Linked DNA regions of Ovis aries. The protein of the gene in region 2 binds, or shares a complex with, the protein of the main gene of each other region. Links are inferred from orthologs where the notes say so. Each region holds a gene or a part of one and is shown on either strand. Other genes may lie near its edges.

Region 1 (9,647 bases), on a different chromosome or scaffold from region 2:
AGCCATCTGTACACCTGCACCCTCATGAACTCCACAGATGTCCATATTAATTACTCAAAGGCCTTTCTAGTGAGCAGATTTCTCTCTCAATCTAAATCTCTTCCTCACTTTTTTCATCCTAGAGCCAGAGCCTTGTAAGTCCATCATCTGGATATATGCCTATGAACCAGGGAAATCTTGGGGAGGTTGGCCAGGTAAGGTCTGTTTAGGAGGAGGCCAAGATGCTATACTTAAAGTGGATAACCAACGAGTACCTACTGTATAGGGCAGAGAACTCTGCTTCAAGATTCTGTAACAACCTAGTTGGGAAAAGAATTTGAAAAAGAATAGATGCACATATAACTTTGTTGTACACCTGAAACTAACATAACATTGTTAATCAACTAGGCTCCAATATAAAATAAAACATTTTTTTAAAAATTAATAAAAGAGGATACCAAGAGGTTGGGTGGCAGTGCCTTAGGATTGGTAGGTAGTAGCAGGGGAGACTTTGGAAATCTCGTTTGATCAGGGTTCTACAAAACAGAAGGTGCTGAACAGCCTAATCTCTTTCTAGACAAATTTCTCTTCTTCGCTCGTTTCTGTATAAATCACCATGTATTATTCTCCTCCTTAGGAGTCTGCAATTTTTGGAGGCAATGAACGGTACCCTCGTCCAGCCTCTCTGCACCCAATGCCACGGGGACGCCTGGCATCAGAATCATCGGAGGGCCATGTGACAGGCTCCGAGGCTGAGCTCCAGGAGAAGGTGTCTATGTGTAGGAGCCGGAGCCGGAGCCCACGGCCAAGGGGAGACAGTGCCTACCATTCCCAGCGCCACAGCCTGCTTACTCCTGTCACCCCACAGTCCCCACCAGGGTTAGAGGAAGAGGATGTCAATGGTTATGTCATGCCAGATGCACGCATCAAAGGTGCCTGATTCTGCTCTGCTTTCCTCAAATCTTTCTCTAATCCTCCTTTTGCAGGCTCCTCTTAATCCTTTTGTCTTCCCCGAGCATATCCTTCCCTATTCATTTTTTCCTAACATCCTTCTACTCCCCACTGCCTATTACCATGAAGTAATACCACATACCTAGCCTCTCTTCTCTACCCCTAGGTACCTCCTCCCGGGAAGGCACCCTTTCTTCAGTGGGTCTCAGTTCTGTTCTGGGTACAGAAGACGACGATGATGAGGAATATGAATACATGAACCGGAGGAGAAGGTGCAGTCCATCTCGTCCTCCTAGGCCAAGTTCCCTCGAGGAGCTGGGTTATGAGTACATGGATGTGGGATCAGACCTCAGTGCCTCCCTGGGCAGCACACAGAGTTGCCCACTCAACCCCGTGCCCAACATGCCCAACGCCAGCACAACTCCAGATGAGGACTATGAATATATGAATCGGCGACGTGGTGGAGGAGGCGCTGGGGGGGACTATGCAGCCATGGGCGCCTGCCCAGCCTCTGAGCAAGGGTATGAAGAAATGAGAGCTTTCCAGGGGCCTGTACTCCGTGGGCCCCAGGTCCACTATGCCCGCCTCAAAGCTTTACGTAGTTTAGAAGCCACTGACTCTGCCTTTGATAACCCTGATTACTGGCATAGCAGGCTTTTCCCCAAAGCTAATGCCCAGAGAATATAACCCTTACTCACTGAGGTGCTCAGGGAGCATTTGATGGCAGCTAGTGCCTCTGGAGAGTAACCCTCTTCTTGGTCTCTCTCCCTCACAGGTCTCAGCCCCATTTCCTAGTCCTAGACAATTCCATTCAAATTATGGAGGCCTTAAACACTTTGACACAAATTTCTTGTGGTTATGTAGCCAGCTGTGCACTTTTTCTCTTTCCTGATCCCAGGAAAGGAGATGGTTTTCCCTATTTTGTGTGCTTTCCCAATCCCATTCCTCAGCTTCCTCAGGGGAACTCCCTGGAGATATGAAGGATTACTCTTGTCCCTTTTTCTTAGACTCTGACTTGTTGACACTAGGCTTTAAAGTATGCCTTTATTTCCCTTTAGACTTTAAAGGAAGAGGAAAGGGGGGAACCTGGCAGGGGAAAGGAAAATTTTGGCTTACGATCCTTAACCCTGCAGAAAGAATGAGAAGTGAAATCTTGTGGAGTGAAGAAAGAGGTTGGGAGTAGATATTAATGATTACTATTAATTGAGCATTTACTATGTGCCAAGCATCCTGCTAAACTTTACCTAAATTTATCTCACTTCATCCTTGACATCAACTCTGTGACCTAGGTATTAGCCTATTTTACAAATAAGGAAACTGAGCCTTAGAGAGGGACTTGCCTGATGGCTCAGTGGGTTAAGAATCCGCCTGCAATTCAGGAGACACAGGAGACACGGGTTCGAACCCTGGGTCGGGTAGATCCCCTGGAGGAGGGAATGGCAACCCACTCCAGTATTCTTGCCTGGAGAATCCCATGGATAGAGGAGCCTTAAAGAGATTAAGTAAATCAAGTAGCAGGTCCATGATTCAAAATCTTCCAATGCATGTGCTCTTACTGTAAGGTATCAAGGAAAACTGATGTAAGCCAGAGCCCTGGTAAGGGGCATTGTCTTCTTGTTTTTGCACTGAATCAAGTCTAACTCCAACAACTACTGTAGCCTCCTCCTTCACCCTGACCTCTTATCCTAGAAGTGGAAGGGGGTGGTCAGAAGGAAAAATAACTGGACATCTCTGTGTAAACCGTAGCCTACATGTGCTGTATATGAGCTCCACCCAAGGGACAGATTCACGGGGGTCCCAAGAGCCACTTTCAGGAGCTATTCTCATCCAGTCGTGGGAAGCTTCCAGTAGGGATAGAAAGAGGACCCAGCTTCAGACCTCTGTCCCTTTGGATGGGAAACTGGGGTATCTGTTTTTATCCCTGAAATTTTTTGTTTTGTTTTTATACGTCTGAATAAAAATGCCAAAGTTTTGCAGCTTTCTGTCTGTCAAATGAAAACCTGTCAAAGTGTATGAGATAGAACACTCTTTTTCCCTGTCTCTCAGCAGTGGATGCTTCTGTCTCTTGACAATCCTACTGGGCCCCATGTCGCTTTCTCCATCCCTACTTTTCCTTATTCCCTTAAGACGAGCATAGAGCACAGTCCTTTTCATTTTAGGGTTTTACTATTAAATCTCTATAGGGCAACCAACTGGGAATAACAAAACAACGCGTTCAGGGACGTTAGAAAAAGTCCTAAGAGGTAGAATACTGAAATTCATGTTTTAAAACTCATTCTCTTAAAAAAAAAGTCTCCGTGAACACTTCCCCCAGATGGCCATCAAAGCTTGTTAGAACAACAGTGCCATCTTCAGTGGGAGTCCGGTCTTTAGATCGGGATAATCGCTCAGAAATCTGGCTGCCCAAGCAGCCCCTGCTTCCCGGACTCCCTCCCGATCTTTTTCCATACCTGCTCTGCCCCTCCCGGTTCTCCCAGCACCTGAGGACAAGAGGACTGGCCCGGCCGGTCTTGCCGGCCGCTCCAGGGACTCAGGGAAGGGCGTATCCCACCTCCCCACCCTTATTACGATCCTCCCGACTCGCCTCGGCTCCACCCCGCCCCTCAGCCTCCAAACCTATTTCGCTGCCGTAGCTCCGCCCCTCCCCCTTACCCCGCCCCTCTCTATTACGGGTTATCTCTCGTCGTTCCTGGTGTATATGGTTTTTCAGGGAGAAACCACGCTTCTCCTCGTGCTTTCCAACGGCTCCGCCTTCCCGCCGGAGCCTGACCCTTCCCAGCGTGCTCGGCGATTCCAGCGTGCGAGGCTCTCGGAGGGCAAGGCCCCAGGGCCTGGCTTAGGGGCGCGAAAAGCATGCTGGGGATTGTAGTTCAGTAGTCCACGAGGGCGGCTAGGGGTTGGCAGTAGGAGGGACTCATTGTCCCAGCGTGCCCTGCGCCTCAGCCCGCGCGTTCGCAGTTTCTCGCTCTCGCCTGCCCTCCCGCTCCCTAGCTTGCTCGCGCTTTTGCTCGCGGTCTGTTCTCGGATCGAAGGGGTTTCTGACCACAGCTTGTGGCTGAGAAGGGCGACAGAGGCGGCGGCTCAAGAGAAACGAGGCTGCGGTGGTGGTGGGAAGATGTCGGGCGAGGACGAGCAACAGGAGCAAACTATCGCCGAGGACCTGGTCGTGACCAAGTATAAGATGGGGGGCGACATTGCTAACCGTGAGTGCGGCCTCAGGGGTCCGAATATTGAGGCTGGGAGGGAGAATCAAGGGAGACGGTGATGGGTTGGCTCCTGAGAGCTGGAGTGGTGGGGTCACGCAGTGTGGGTTAGTGAGGGCCCAGTTCAGGTCTGCTGGAGGTGGCGTGGTGGGCAGGCTCCGTGTCGCGCCTGGGACCCGAGAGGCTGGGCCTGGGCTGGAGTCTCTGGAGATTCTGGCGGACGGTCGGCAGGGCGGCTGGGAGAAGAGCAGAGCTGGGCCCCTGGCCAGCCCCGACCCTAGGCCGTTGGTAAGGAGGCGAGGTGTACCTCCTGTTCCTCACCCTTCAGTTCAGATTTCTGCCTCTGATATTGGTGGCAGCGAGACCACCTCGAAAATGAAGCGCTTCTATTTTGTCGCGGCTCCCCGCCGTCAGGAGCCTGGCCCGCACGTGTTGCCAGGTCCCCTGCGGCTCGCCGGCTACCTTCCTCCGCTGTGTCCCTGACACCAGCTTGCCTACCACGTGCTTTGCTGTAGTCCTTCGTTCTTTACTTCAACTCCTTCCCTGGTGGAGGCCGCCTTCTACTCTAGGGCCAACTCAGGGACTATTAGAGAGCACCCCATAACTCTTGTTTGACTGTTCTTGAAGTTGTTCATTGTACCTCCAATCTGCGGGGTTGGCTTTAGTTAGTCGTCTAATTTGATCTTAGGTGTTTCACAACTGTGGGAGTGTTTTGAGGTCCTTCTCACCCCAGCCAGTCAAACCTATGAATAGTGCTGTTAAAGGGGGTCTGAAGTTAGAATCTCGTAAGTCATCCTTAATAAGATTGTGCTCTTGACTTTCTCAGCAGCTGCCTGCCACTCTCTACAGATGTCTCGCTTTCTATTTTCTCTCTTTACAATTTAAAACCCAGTTAGAGGACACAAAATGTTTGTCTTTGGGCTTTTAAATGGTTCTGACAGTAAAGACAGGCATTTAGGATGCTTTTGATCCTGTGACTGAAAATCTGAGTTTTTCATACTTTCAAAAAATCACCAAAACTTGGATCACAAAAATAAAATCTGAAGTCCAGGATGGACCATGGAGAGGGTATGGGTGAACAGAATAAATGCTTTGTAACACAATGGATATGTAGTGGTTTAAATCAGGAAAAAAAATTTTCCCTCTTGCAGTTTATAACTTCTGAGGCACCTGTGATTCCCAGTACCAGTTTGAAACTCTTTTGGGTCACATACTTCTTTGAGCCCAGGGACCAAGGTTAAGTCTTCTTGACTTGTTATTTGAAGAAATAAGTCTACATAAATTGAGATTACTAACACCTCCTAATTGGGGTGTCTGGGAAAGGAAGAAAGTAGCATTTAACAATGCATCAGCTTAGAGTCAGCAATTGTATGTCTACCTTCTTGTCCCTGGTGCCTATAAATTTCCTCCAGTCTCCTTTGCATGTGTTGGATATCTTGGTGAGAATGCCCTTGAAGTTCATAAATCTCCTACCATACCACAAGTATCATCTTTGGAAAGTCTCCCTTGCCTTAGGAGACAGGTGATGCATACCTAGCTGTCACACTATATAAAGGAGGGAAGGGAGTGTTGGCTTTTTTAAGTTAAGGAGAGGAAGGTAGAGATTTATAGAGATGACAGGTACATTCTAGGAGGCAAAACATATTCCTCTTTTTTTTATCCTTAGAGCAGTGGTACTAGGGAATATTTCTAAGTTGGACTCAGAAACTCTAAGTCCGACTTCTAGGTGTTTCTTGGACATTAACTTAGACAACACATTCAGGACTGATATATGGGATTCTGTTCCCAGGGGTACTTCGGTCTTTGGTGGAAGCATCCTGTTCAGGTGTGTCGGTACTGAGCCTGTGTGAGAAAGGGGATGCCATGATAATGGAAGAAACAGGGAAGATTTTCAAAAAAGAAAAAGAAATGAAGAAAGGTAAAAAAACAATCCCCTCCTAATTAAGTTTGACCCTTATTGAGTCCTGTTTGTTTTACTGTAATAATGCAACCTTTACCCCAGCACTGGTTGAGATATTTGGAAATTTGGAATGGCAAGGGGAATTCAGTTTCCCACTCAATCCAGACTGATCAAACTTAAGACCCTGAAGAAAATCCATTCATTTTTCAGAGGGGCAGGAGGGTTCCAAGAGAGCGAGCAGGGCAGTAAGGCTGATTGTTTCTTTACAGGTATTGCCTTTCCCACCAGCATTTCAGTAAATAACTGTGTATGTCACTTCTCCCCTTTGAAGAGCGACCAGGACTATATTCTCAAGGAAGGTGACTTGGTAAAAATGTAAGCTTAAACCATTTTAGAGCACTTGTCTTTTTCCTCGGCATTCACAATAGTGCCAGTTGCTAATGCTGTACTCTGCTCTTGCCTTTCAGTGACCTTGGGGTCCACGTGGATGGCTTCATCGCTAATGTGGCTCACACTTTTGTGGTTGATGTGGCTCAGGTAGGTGGACTGCTTTGAACTCTATGCAGCCAGTGGGGAGCTGGGGAGGGTTCACTGCTGCTGGGTTGTTTTTTTTTTTCCCACTGCTGCCTCTTATCCTCACCTACTACCACGACATTAAGTTTTGAGAATCTCTAAAGAATAAAAGGGGAAAGGGTGGTTTCTCTCCTGACCACTGGATACATAATGGACACACAGATATTAACTGATCAGCTTTTTTGGAAGGCACTGACTGAATTTCCTCCTCTACAGGGGACCCAAGTAACAGGGCGGAAAGCAGATGTCATTAAGGCAGCTCACCTTTGTGCTGAAGCTGCCCTACGCCTGGTCAAACCTGGAAATCAGGTGAGCTGTTTAGTCCAAGTCCAAAGCTTGATAGAGCCAAAGGTGCGTTCAGGATGTACTGCTATTCTATACTGAAAGAGAAGAGGCAGGAACTAAAAGAGTTTAAACCGAAGAGATGTTAAATCTTAGTGCCTACCTTAGGTGGTATGATGCTCACTGTAAGGGGATGATGGGTGCTCCTTTTCTTATGGAGCCTATAGAGATCCTTCCTTTTTCATGTTTTGGATGTGTATTGTTCCTGGAAATAATTTGAGATAGATAGCTCACAATAAAACACAGATATTGAAACTAAGTTTTAAAAGCTTATAACACAAAAATAATAATAGTACCAGTAAATTTGTGGCAAAGAAAGGCCAAAGACCCTTCCAAGACAATATTAGGACGTCCAGGGATCATAAATTTCTCATGAATTCATACAATAACATGTTAGACTACTAGTGGAGACTTTGTCTAACACTTAGATTTCAGAACCTGTTCAATACATAAAGCATCCTCTTTCTCTGTGCTCTTCACCCTTTTTATCCGTTTGTCCCCATTATCACTTAATTGCATCGTTTTTACTTCAGCCTCTGTTGTAGTTTTCTTGCAGTGGTATCTATCAAAGAGCTATTATAAAGCACTTTGAATAGTACCTGGCACAGAGTTAACCCTTTTGTTAGCTATTAATATTTTACATATTGATTATTTTTATTATTTATATGCTTACTATAAGATACTATTAATGTAGTGGCTGTTGTCTAGCTATGACCTGAGACTTTCTGGATTCTCATCCCATTACCACCCACTACTGATTTAAAATGAAATAACTTCAAAATTTCCTCATCTGTAAAGTGGGAAAAATTAAATTGTGCCTCATTCTCACAGGGTTGTGAAGATTGAGATGATCCATATAAAGTGATTATCACAGTACCTGACATGTAGTTTAATAATAGCTATGATTGGAAATTCACTTTTCTTTTTCTCTTAACTATAATTTAGGTGAGGATCAGCTCATGATTGAAAGAGGTAAAGAGGACAAAATAAAACTTTCTGTACCCTTTCAACAGGTTAGAATGCCAGGTATCATGGACTAAACACTGTGATCCGAAAACCTGAGTTTATACCAGGTTCTTTTGGTTAACTGGTTTAACCTTGAGCAAATCATATAACCCTTCTGAGCCTCAGTTTCCTCCTCCAAATTAGGATGTAGATTACCATACAGAATTGTTGGCACTAGTCACCTTACAGAATTGTTGTCTAAGCAGACCATCTTTGTGATAGTGCTTTGTAAAATGGTATGCAAATTTGATTTCTAGGTTGTAAGATGCTAGGGCTATGAAATGAAAAATTACTGAGAATCATTGCATTTGCTGGAGGATATTAGAACTCAGTTCTTTATGCTGCTGCTTCTCATAGTAGACAACTTACTAGCTCCTGGTATTTTACGTTTTATTTGATCTTGTACTTCTAGAACACACAAGTGACAGAAGCCTGGAACAAAGTTGCCCACTCATTTAATTGCACACCAATAGAAGGTGAGACTTCAGATAGTGGGGTTGAGGGTCTCAGTATGAGTGGTTTAGCAGAATTAAGACTTTTGTTCCCTTGAGCATCCACCCTGGCTCTGGCATAATCCAAGCCGCAAACCTCAGTGCCCCGTTTCCATAGCTGGGCACTTTGCTCTCATTGCCTGCTCCGTGGCTCTACTTGGGTAGGTGGGTTGGAAACCTTTGGGGATTCTAGATGAGTGGTGCCACAGGCTTTGTCCTCTACAGGTATGCTGTCACACCAGTTGAAGCAGCATGTCATTGATGGAGAGAAAACCATTATCCAGAATCCCACAGACCAGCAGAAGTAGGTGCCCTGTATCCCACTGTCTACCTTCTGTCATATAAGACTAGTTACGAAGTTCTTCCATACTCCAGGCTAATCTTATCCACCTTCTCTTCTAAGCTCCAGGAACCACTTATTGCTCCTTATTGTTCCCTTTCTGTTCTTTTAGGAAAGACCATGAAAAAGCAGAATTTGAGGTACATGAAGTATATGCTGTGGATGTTCTCGTCAGCTCAGGAGAGGGCAAGGTGATGAATGTTTACCAGATCCGGCAGAGAGGGGAGGCTGGGGGTGGGTTCCAAGAGCACCAGATCAAATATGATGTTTTATAGGCCAAGGATGCAGGACAGAGAACCACCATTTACAAGAGAGACCCCTCTAAGCAGTATGGCCTGAAAATGAAAACTTCCCGTGCCTTCTTCAGTGAGGTTGAAAGGCGTTTTGATGCCATGCCCTTTACTTTAAGGTACTACTGCACTTAGCGAGGACAGGACTTGGAACAGTCTGACCCGTAGACCATACAGCCAGATCTCTTTCCTTCCCCTACCCTGCTTGCCCTCTTTCCCTCCTCTTCTACCTAGACTTGTAGCTCCAGCCTGCATGCATGCCTTCTCTGTTTCTCCCTCTCATAGGAAGTAGTGTAAACAAAAAGCAATCCTACGCATGATTTCTGCCTGAGGGTAGGAGTTATTTAAAAACAGGAACAAAGTGGTAAAACATGACAGGGAGTTAAGGATACCTGAATTTGTCTTCCCCTCCCCAGAGCATTTGAAGATGAGAAGAAGGCCCGCATGGGTGTGGTGGAGTGCGCCAAACATGAACTGCTACAACCATTTAATGTTCTCTATGAGAAGGAGGGTGAGTTCTGAGAAGAGAGTTGTAGTTTGAAGCCTCCGATTATGGTCCCCTTCTCCTTGAAG
Region 2 (9,647 bases):
AAGAGTTGTAAGCAGATAACCGCTCCGGCTTCCCGAGGCTGGGTGCGCTCTGCTGTGGTATGCTCCCACACCAGGGCCAGAGCAGGGGTCCACGACCCACCTCCCCCAAGTCCCCTGAGGCTGGCCCCGTCCGCATGCCTCCTAGGGAGACAGCGAGCCTCCCAGGCCCAGACCGAGGACCTTGCAGCTGCCTGTCTCAGTCAGGGTGCTGGGGACGCCTCCCCTCCACCTGTGTCAGGCCTGGGGACGCCTCCCCTCTGCTTGCAGCTAGGCCTGGGGATGCCTCCCCTCCACCTGTGTCAGGCCTGGGGACGCCTCCCCTCTGCTTGCAGCTAGGCCTGGCGATACTGCTGAAAAACGAAAAGCAAGGTGGTTTGACAGGCGCTAGCCCCCCCCCAGGGACCACAGTGATGGGAGATCTCCCCCCTACTCTGCATTGTCACCCGTGGTCTCAAGCCTCCATCCAAACTTTCCTTGTGGACATGGCTCATTCTGGGGCCTGAGGGTGCGGCCTTCTGCCTCCTGGCAGCCCCTTCAACAAGGGGAAGGGCTTCCAGTTGGGGCAGGATCGTGACGGGAGAGCAGGAGGCTAGGGCCAGAGCTAAGAAAGAAGGCGGGGGGTGGGGTGGGGGGGAGGGGCCTCGAGCCAGGCACGTGTGCACGCGTGTCCACGTGTGTGCCTGGGAGGGAGGTATGGTTGGGAGTCTGCCCGCTGTGGCGGGACCTGTGGCCCCCACCGAGGTCAGGAATCAGCGTTTGCTCCGAATGTGATATGTCTGGGGCACAGCTGCTTCTGGCTTAAGCGTTGACAAAGACCTCGTCCCACGAGAAGAATGTGCCTTTATTGTCAGTCCTGATAACGACCTAACCGCAGGAAGAACACGGCTCCCACCTCGGGGGCTCCAGTGGGCTCCAGTGGGCCAACAGGCGACCCAGGGTCCAGGCCAGTATGGGGGTGGGGGGCATCGTGAGGGCGAGAAGGACTGAGAACTGGGAGGGTCTGGATGGCGCGTGGTGGGTGTGGACCTGGGCAGGGTCTGCGTGCCCAGGGCGCCTCGCCTGGGCAGCACTGTACCCTGGGTGCTGGGGGCAGAGCCTCTTAAGAGCCCTGGGGCCGTGGATGGACAGACAGACGGGCAGGCCTGAGGCATGAAGGCAGTAGTAGCGGCGGGGCTTGTGCCATGAGGCTGAGGGTGCCTGGCTCAGGGGGCCCTCCTCAGCAACCCTCAGAGCCGGTGGGCGGGCTCAGCGGTCCCAGCTAAACAAGGACCCTGCACCAAGAGCCCGGGCTCTGAGAGGGCTGCTCCTGCCCCGGAAAGGCCTGCGATGTCCCCGGCTGGCAGCAACCCTCTGCAGGGGCCGGCCAAGAGCCACGATAGCAAGCACAGATCAGAGACACCTGGCAGCGTGAGGGAGCCCCCACGGCACAACCCCAGTCTGGAGGGGTGTGGGGACCAGGCTGGGGGGCCGGGGGATGGGGCCCAGGCTGGGGGCTGGGGGCATGGGCCAGCAGCTCTGGGCCATGAAGGGTGGTGAGGAGCCCAAGCTTGCCCTGTGCTTAGCCTGGAATCCTGCTCCACCATGGAAATCCTGGCCAGCCCTGCTGGCCACTGGTCACTCCGTGCATCTTGAAAGGCCCCCCTTTGGCTGTGCCCTCTGTGCCACCCAGGACACTGAGGCAGAGAGGCACAGCCTGGTGTTGAGTGGCTGGCGCTGAGGCCTGGCCTGGGCCCTGGGGCCGTGCATGACAGGATGGCCACTGGGAGCCCGGCCCCAGCCTGCTCTCCTGCTGTGTCCAGCACCCAGGGGCCGTGCTGTCTCCAGCTCCCCGCCCTGGGCAGGGGGCCCGGACAGAGCAAAGCTCCAGTGAGTGCCTCTGGGCGCCTGGGGAAGGGGTCATCCTCACCACCACCACCCCCCGCACCCCCCGGCCCCCCTGCACCCCCCGCACCCCCCCCCGCGCCCCCCGGCCCACCCCCCGCCCGCACCCCCCCTCCCCGCCCCCGCCCCGCACTGGGGGGCTGGGTGGAGCCGCTCTTGCTGGCTGCGGCGGCCCCGGGCGCCCTCTGGTGGCCGCACTCAGCTTGTGCCTGCTCTGCTGGAGGGCGCCGGCGCTCCGGGTCGGCCAGGGCCCCGGGGTGGGGGGGGGGGCTGTGCCTCACACCCACCGCCCCCCACCACCCGGGGAGGGGCAAGGGGGAGGGACCTGGCGAGTAATGCAGATGCCCCGCAGCTCCGGGCCGGTCGGCTGCGCCGGCCTCCAGGCGAAGCCCCAGGAAGGAGCTCCTGACCCCGAGTCCCCCTGCTCATTCTTCTTGGACCCCAGTCCCGCTGGTTCCTCTCTGACCCCGAGTGCCCCCCGTAACTCTCTGACCCCGAGTGCCCCCCGTAACTCTCTGACCCTGAGTGCCCCCCCGTAACTCTCTGACCCCGAGTGCCCCCTGTAACTCTCTGACCCTGAGTCCCCTCAGTTCCTCTCTGACCCCGAGTGCCCCCCGTAACTCTCTGACCCCGAGTTCCCACTTACGCTCTGACTCTGGGGTTCCTGCGGAGTGGCTGACACCTCATCTGAGTCTTGTCGGATGAGGCAGCAGAGCGAGCCGCTGCTGGGGCAAGCCCCGGGAACCCGGCCACCTCCCTGGCACCCCACAGCACCTACCCCAGGACCTCCGCCCCAGCTGCCCCTCCTTCCCTCCCTCCCTCCCGCTGGTTCAGGTGGGCTGGTGTCTCCATCCACCCCTTGGTCCTCTTGGAGGTGGAGGATCTCACTGGTGGCCCGGGGGTGGAGGAGAGAGAGCCCGTCTGAATCCTGCGCAGCACAGATGGGGCTGGTGGTGCAGCCCCCGGGGAAACTGGGAGATGCAGAGGGACCCTGGCACCAAGAAGTGACCTGAGGGGCCACCCTGGGGGGAGGTATGTGGCCCAGGCCGGGGCGGAGGGCGGGGCAGCTCTAGCCTGGCAGGACTGAGGGCAGGCCCTGCTCCCCCAGGAGGCACGTGGGTAGCAGGCATCGTGCCCACGTGGAGAGCGGGGTGGGGGCTAGCCGGACTGTGGTTGCAGGACCTCCTCCCCAGGCCAGGGCCAGACCAGAGTCCTGAGTGCAGTGCGGGCTCTATGCCCAGCTCTGGGCTGGGTGCCGGAGGACCTCAGACTAGGGGGTGAGGAAGATGGGGGAGAGACAGGGTGCTGCGGAAGGGACAGGCGAGGCTGCGGGAAGACACGAGTGCCAGGTTCACAGCTCCACACGCTGTGGCGGAGCCCCAGACCCAGACCACCTGCTCGGGAACTGACTGCTGCGGGTCCAGATACACTGAGACAGGGCAGGTGGGACCTGCTTGGGCCGGCAGGACCTCCGGAAGCCTGGACCCCGAGGCTCCCAGTGCGGGGCTGGGCGTGCCCTCATCGGAAGGACGCCCCTGGGCTCACAGACCCTCACCTGGCGCGGGCCCTGCGCGGCAACTCGGGTGACCTGTTAAAGGGGTGCGAGGGAGAGCGGGTCACACACAGAATGAGACCCTTGGAGCAGCTTTTCTCCTTGTCCCTAAACACCTTTGGGTTTGGGTTAAAGGGGCACGGGAGCCTCCAATTCCTGCTTTCACTGTGACACGTTGCGCAGAGGTTAGAAATGGTGACATGTTGTAATAACCCAATATTTAATTATTTAAGATCAAAAGAAGCAGGCTGGGGATCTCCTGCTGCGTGCTCAGGATAACAGCCAATCTGGTCCGAGTCCCGAGGGGAACGCGACTCACACCAGCGGTTTGGGGACCCACCAGCGGGGCGCAGGGGACGCGAGGATGGGGAGCGAGGTTGGGGCTCCGGGCAGGGGCCCCGGGCAGCATTCCCTCCCTCGTCCTCTGGGCGGCGGGCGCGGCGCCGGCGCCGGGGCATTCCCCGTCCCCGCCGTGCGGGTGCTTCCCGGCGGCTAGCCGCCCCAGGAAAGTTCCCCAGCCCCTGATCCGCTCGGCCGATGGAAAGTTTCCGTGGCTGCGTGGCGCCGGCCCAAGGCGCCGGGTCGAGTAGGGCGGACACGGCTCAGGTTGTGCCGCGACCGGAGGGGTGCGCGGAGCGAGGCGCACGGCCGGCCGGGCAGGACCCCAGGCCGCGCACAAAGGGACCCGCCCCCGCCGGTCCGGGATCTCGCGCACCGCGGGGCGGTGCGGGTGGAGCGGGGCCGGCCTGGACCCCCGGCACTGACCTCTGCCCAGACCTCGATTCCGGCCCTTGCCCGGCCCGCAGCCCGGGTGCCGGCCCGACCCCGACCCGGGTTCCCGGCCGGAGCTTACCTGGAGCGCGGTTGTGGGCGGTGCCGCAGAACGGCCCCCGCCCCAGACGGGCGTCCGCCGGTCCCTCGGCGCGCGGCGTCCCCGGGCGGGCGCGGGTGACCGTCCGGGGGCCTCCGATCGCGCCGGTGCGGGGCGCACCCTCAGCGCCCCGCGCAACCCGGGCCAGCCCTCCGCCCTTGCGCGGCCCGTGCGCAAAGCCGGCCTGCCGGCGCCGCGACCCTCGCCCCTCCCCGCCGCCGCCACTGTTCCCATTGGTCGGGAGGCCCGGCAACCGGCGCCGACTGGACGAGCGCGGGGAGACGCCGGCTTGCCATTGGCCACTGGGGGTGTCCGTCTCTGCCGATCACGGCCCCTCGTGGAGCGACGGAGGCCAGGGCACCTGCCGGGACCTATGCGGCTGTGGCCCGGGCAGCTGGCCGCCCTCTCCCGGCCGCCTTCGAGGACGTGCCCAGGCCATGCGGCTCGCACGGGAAGCGGGGCAGGCCTGGCGCCCCATCCCCGGACTTGGGCCGGTCGGCTCTATCGCCACCCCCAAGTTCCCGGGTATCCTCCTCCAGCGCCTGCTGTTGGCTGCACGCCGCGCCCGCCCAACGGCACCAGTTATATTTCTCACAGTCCGCGAGGGAGCGTTCTGCTGCCCTCCCGTTTTACAGACGGGAAACCCACCGAGGCGTTGAGAGGTTCTCGCCAGCTTTAGGTCATGGGAGGAGGCGGTGGGGCTCCAACCCAGTCCATCTGGGCGGTCTCCCACCCTCATCGCCCCAGCGTTCCCACTGTGGAGGCCCGATGGGTGGGAGCCCTCGGGAACGGTGGCTTTTCTCCTCCTTCAGGGGTGAATTTATCACAGCGTGGGCTCCGCCCACCCAGCAGGGCCCGCGGGACTGGCCTCCCTCCCTGACCCAGGCTGCAGATGGGGGCTGGAAGGAGTCAGAGTTCAGGGAAGGGGGCCTCTGCCCCTGGCCCATGGCCACAGGGCCCAGGAGCCCCGCCCCCCACTCTCACCCACCCTCTGCCTGGCTTCTGGCCAGTTCTGTAGGGCCATCCCTGGGGCACGTGTGACATGCTGCAGGGAGAGCCAGATGTCAGCTGGATGTTAGAAGCTCCCAACAGCTGCAGATGCTTGAGGTCAAAAGGGCGACCACACGAGGTCACGAGCTCCCATCTAAGAATGTATGTGTTCAGAGGTAGGGTGACAGGGAACCCGCGGTCGCCCTGAGGCCCCACCCTGACCCACCTCGTTGGCCGACAGCGGAGTGGGTTTTCCACCTCCCTAACCCAAGCGCGGCTGCACCCCTTTTGCAGAAAACGGGAAGGTGCTGGTCAGGAGGGCTTGGTCACTAGGGGTCCCGCACCTCTGGGCCCAGTGGCTTGGGCCAGATCACTCTGCAGCGGCTGCCTGTTGTCCCCCTGGGCATTGCCACTTGCCTCCAAGCCCTGGATTCTGCTTATCCAACACTACCACCTCTCAGCTGGACTGCAGAATCCAGCTGCCCGGAGGGGAATCACCGGCACCACCCAGCTTGACTCTCTTGCCAGGTGGCAGGAGGAGGACTAGTGTCTCTTGCTGGGTCTGCCACCTGCTGGCCAGGAGTCCTCGGACACGGGGAGCCCAAGGACAGGAGGAGACCTTGGACACGGGGTGGGGGGGGGCCTGGGACACCGGGGGCCCAAGGACAGGCGGAGCCCTGGGCACGGGGGGCCTGGGGAGTCCCGGGGAGTCCCGGGACATGGAGTCCTTGGACCCAGGGAACCCCGGGACAGGGAGAGCCCCGGGACACAGGGAGTCGTTGCTTTCCTTGCCTGCAAAGGGCTTCTGTGGAGCAGCGCAGATGAGACGGCACAGCAGTGGAGTGGAATGGGCTTTAGGGGTGTCACGCAGCTTTGAGTTGGACTGTTGCCTGGGGTTAATACCAGTCAGGCCTTTGCCCTCTCTGAGTCCCAGTTTTCACAGGGCATCAGCTCTCCAAGAAAGGATCAGGCACCTACATCCTCACTGTGGGGTTGTGGAATTAATCCAGCCACTGCCACTGGCCACTTAATTCTGACTTCAAGCAAGTGACACATAATTGCTCTAAGCATCAATGTTTGCATCTCTAAAGTGGAAAAATGAGCACTGTGTCCTGGAATGCTGGGTTAGAGCATTTAGCACACTGAAGTGAAGAGCCAACTCATTGGCAAAGACCCTGATGCTGGGAGAGATTGCAGGCAGGAAGAGAAGGGGGCAGCAGAGGATGAGATGGTTGGATGGCATCACCGACTCAAAGGACATGAATCTGAGCAAACTCTGGAAGATAGTGAGGGACAGGGAAGCCTAGTGTGCTGCAGTCCATGGGGTCTCAAAGAGTCGGACAGAAGTTAATCCCTGAACAACAACAAAGCACCTTGTTGGGTGTGGGCTCAGGCCCATCTGCCTCTTTCTGACCCCAAGGACTATACATAGCATGCCAGGCTCCTCTGCTCATGGGATTTCCCAGGCCAGAATACAGGAGCAGAGTGAGTTGTCATTCCCTCCTCCAAGGGATCTTCCGGATTCGGGGATCGAACCAGCATCTCTTGCATCTCCTGCGTTGGCAGGCGGATTCTGTACCACTGTGCCACCTGGGAAGAGCCATTATTAGCAAGCTTGCTATAATCGTCATCCTCGTCATAGTTTGCTGAGGGCCCATTTGGAGCAAGCCCTGGGCCTCTGAATCTCCACTCAGACCCCAGACACAGCCCAGAGGCCACTGTGGGCAGGGAGCCGCAGCGAACACCTCTGTCCTCCGGTAAGGGACCTAGTCAGTGGCTTTTGCTCAGTTGCGATGGTGTGGAGATCAGGCCGGCAGCCCTGCATCCTGAGGTCGGCCCTGCCGAACAGCTTCGAGGCGGGTTAACGGCTGAGGTGACCGGTCCGACGTCTGTCCTGACCGTAGCAGGGATGTCCGCGGTCAGAGCTGCAACGGGGAAAGATGGCCAGTCCAGAGGCACGGACTGGGAGGCGGGGAGGCAGCCCCCAGGTGCGCACCCTGCGGACCCTCCTGCAGGGCCCCGTGCAGCGCTGGCCAGGGACGTGTCCACGAGGGTAGGGCTGGGGGCCGGCACCTTCCTGCCCGCGGGGGTCACGAGGCGCCTCCGGGCGCTTGGCGCAGCCCCGGGGGCGGGGCGCGGGGAGTTGCAGCCCGGAGCGACGGCGTGGGCAGCCACTGGTGCCCGGGCTCGCGCCTTGCCGCCCCGCCCCCTTGCCTGGCTGCCCAATGGCGAGCGCGCGGACGGCAGGGGGCGGGGCCTGGGCGGTGGCGGCTGCGGCGCGCGGGCGCGGCACCCGGAAGTCGGCGGCCGCGGCGGAGGCGGTGAGTGCGAGCCGGGATGCGGGCGGCGGGCGGCGCTCCCTGCGGGGCGCGGGGCTCGGGACTCGGACTCAGCAGTGGCCACCGCGCCCGTCCCGATTTCCCCTTCTCGAAGCGGTGATTGCCCGTCCAGCGCCTGGTCTGGTCGGAGACCGAGCGGACCCCGGCCGACGGAGCGTCCCTCGCGTTCCTGAAACCACGTTTCCAGTGTCCCCGCCTGGACGGAGCGCGGGCCTCGCAGGCCCGGCGGGTGTCCCTGCCAGGGTGGGCGGGCTACGCGGCTGTGGGCCGGGGAGCCCTGGGTCACGCTGCAGGGGATAGCTGATGCCTGTCCGGAGAGGCAGCCGGGGCCAGGTCATAAGCGCGCCTCGACACAGCTTTCCTGGGCTGGCTCGGTCGTCAGGACCTCCTCACGGGAGTTCAGGGCAAGGAGCTGGGCAGGGCTGCACCCTGGGTAAGGCCCTGTAGCCACTGGTTTTGAAGACACTCCTGCCCCAGCAGCTGCCCCGTGCGCCTCTGGGCCACAGATCTGCCGTGGGCCTTCTGCCCTTGGACAGCTCCTGAGGCCCAGCCAGCCTCTGCTGGGGCAGTCACGTGGTCAGCCAGGCCTGCCCTGCTGTCCTGCTGCGGGCCTGTCTACCGGTGTGTTGCTGTTTAGGTCTCGGTGGACAAGGGGTGGAGCTGTGAGGGGTGCCTACAGCCGGGAGCTTGTGGGAACTGCTTTCTGCTGCTTGCTCCTTGTGCTCTGGGCAGCCTTTCAGGGCAAGTGTCTGAGGCCAGATGACAGCATTCACAGTGAAGAAAACTCAGGCTGAGGGCCAGTGGTGTCCCCAAGGTCACTCAGAGCCAGGCTGGCCTGTCCTCCTGAGCCCCTCTCCCAGAAGCCTTCCTGCCTTGGGTGGCCTGTCCGGTGGGGTGGGGTGAGAGGGTGGGCGTTGGCAGGTGGACACAGCAGAGCCTCCGCTCCTGCTCCCTGGGGCCCAGGGCTCCTGGTGGGCAGAGCGTGCTGTCCTGGCGCCCCCGCCTGCTGGGACCCCTGACCACTGGCTGCAGAGGCGCGCGTGCCGTGGTGCTGCGGCTTCGTGTCACTGGTGTGTCGGCAGGATGCAGGCCCCTCGGACCAGGCCTCCAGCCGTCTGCTCTGGCCCACTGCCCTGTCCCTGAGCTGTCAGGACGGCCTTGTGCGTCCTCTGTGTGTGCGTTCCTGGGCGGTCACTTAGGTTGTGTTTCACCGTGGTACAGTCACGTGTGGCGTCCTGGGAACTTAGTCCTGTGTTGGCTGCGGCTCTAGAAGGCCCCTCCTGGCCGCTTGGTGCCCTGCGTGCTGCTTCTGAGGGTGTCTGTCTGTGGCCCCGGGCAGGGAGGCCACTGCAAGTGGGGCCACACTCGTCACTGACACCCCGGGTGTGTGAGGACAGTTGGTTGGTCTGGACCTTGGGGTTTGGTGATGGGCTCTGAGAACAAGGTCGCCCCTGGGCCACTGACTTCCCTTTTCCGGGTATTGGTGCAGCTGTGTTCCTCCTTCTTGGCTTTCTTTCTGGGTTGCAGAGTGATGGATACACGCTTCACAGTGAAGAGGCCCAGGCCCCACCACCTGGTGTGTCTGCCGGGTCCTCAAGACCATGCGCAGAAGAAGCCCTTGCTGCCACACTCCTTTCAGGGGCTGGTGGGAGCGCCCCCTTCCTCCCCTGTTGACCCCTCGAGCCGCAGGGCGAGCCCCTGGCTTGTGGGAAAGCCTGTTCCTGGGGGGGGATGGGGACCAGAGTGCAGAGCGTGCAGCGTGCGCCGTGACTCCCCATGTCCCTTGTTGGTGTTGCTCTTTTGAACCCTGAAGGGACAATGGCACTCGCTGTGAGGCTGCATGAATGCCCCTCAAACGGTTCTAAGATCTCAGGAAACATTGTCGTCCTAGAAAACGCGTCGTCCTGCAATGCTACTTATCAGCCAGAGCTGCAGAGCTGGGTTGCGGAGTCCTGGGTGGGGAGGGGCGTGGTGGGCGGGGGCGGGGTGGGCAGCCGGCTGGTCTGAGTGATTA

What was found. The genes of interacting proteins can lie anywhere in the genome.
Region 1: ARVCF (region 2) and PA2G4 share a complex: the UniProt entries of both Homo sapiens proteins name them as parts of the ribonucleoprotein complex. The link is inferred for Ovis aries from reciprocal best matches to the Homo sapiens genes ARVCF and PA2G4.

Annotation. Positions count from the first base shown.
Region 1 is NC_056056.1:163,427,635-163,437,281, reverse strand, and holds the start of PA2G4 (proliferation-associated protein 2G4), read left to right. Parts: upstream 1-3,854; 5' UTR 3,855-4,045; coding exon 4,046-4,133; intron 4,134-5,922; coding exon 5,923-6,051; intron 6,052-6,302; coding exon 6,303-6,408; intron 6,409-6,500; coding exon 6,501-6,570; intron 6,571-6,822; coding exon 6,823-6,915; intron 6,916-8,365; coding exon 8,366-8,429; intron 8,430-8,669; coding exon 8,670-8,748; intron 8,749-8,896; coding exon 8,897-8,975; intron 8,976-9,059; coding exon 9,060-9,193; intron 9,194-9,490; coding exon 9,491-9,585; intron 9,586-9,647. Other genes in the region: ERBB3 (receptor tyrosine-protein kinase erbB-3), read left to right, coding at 123-194, 617-911, 1,097-1,617. UniProt on the Homo sapiens protein: May play a role in a ERBB3-regulated signal transduction pathway. Seems be involved in growth regulation. Acts a corepressor of the androgen receptor (AR) and is regulated by the ERBB3 ligand neuregulin-1/heregulin (HRG).
Region 2 is NC_056070.1:72,971,508-72,981,154, forward strand, and holds the start of ARVCF (splicing regulator ARVCF), read right to left. Parts: upstream 4,509-9,647; 5' UTR 4,287-4,508; intron 1-4,286. Other genes in the region: TANGO2 (transport and Golgi organization protein 2 homolog), read left to right, coding at 7,937-8,066. UniProt on the Homo sapiens protein: Contributes to the regulation of alternative splicing of pre-mRNAs.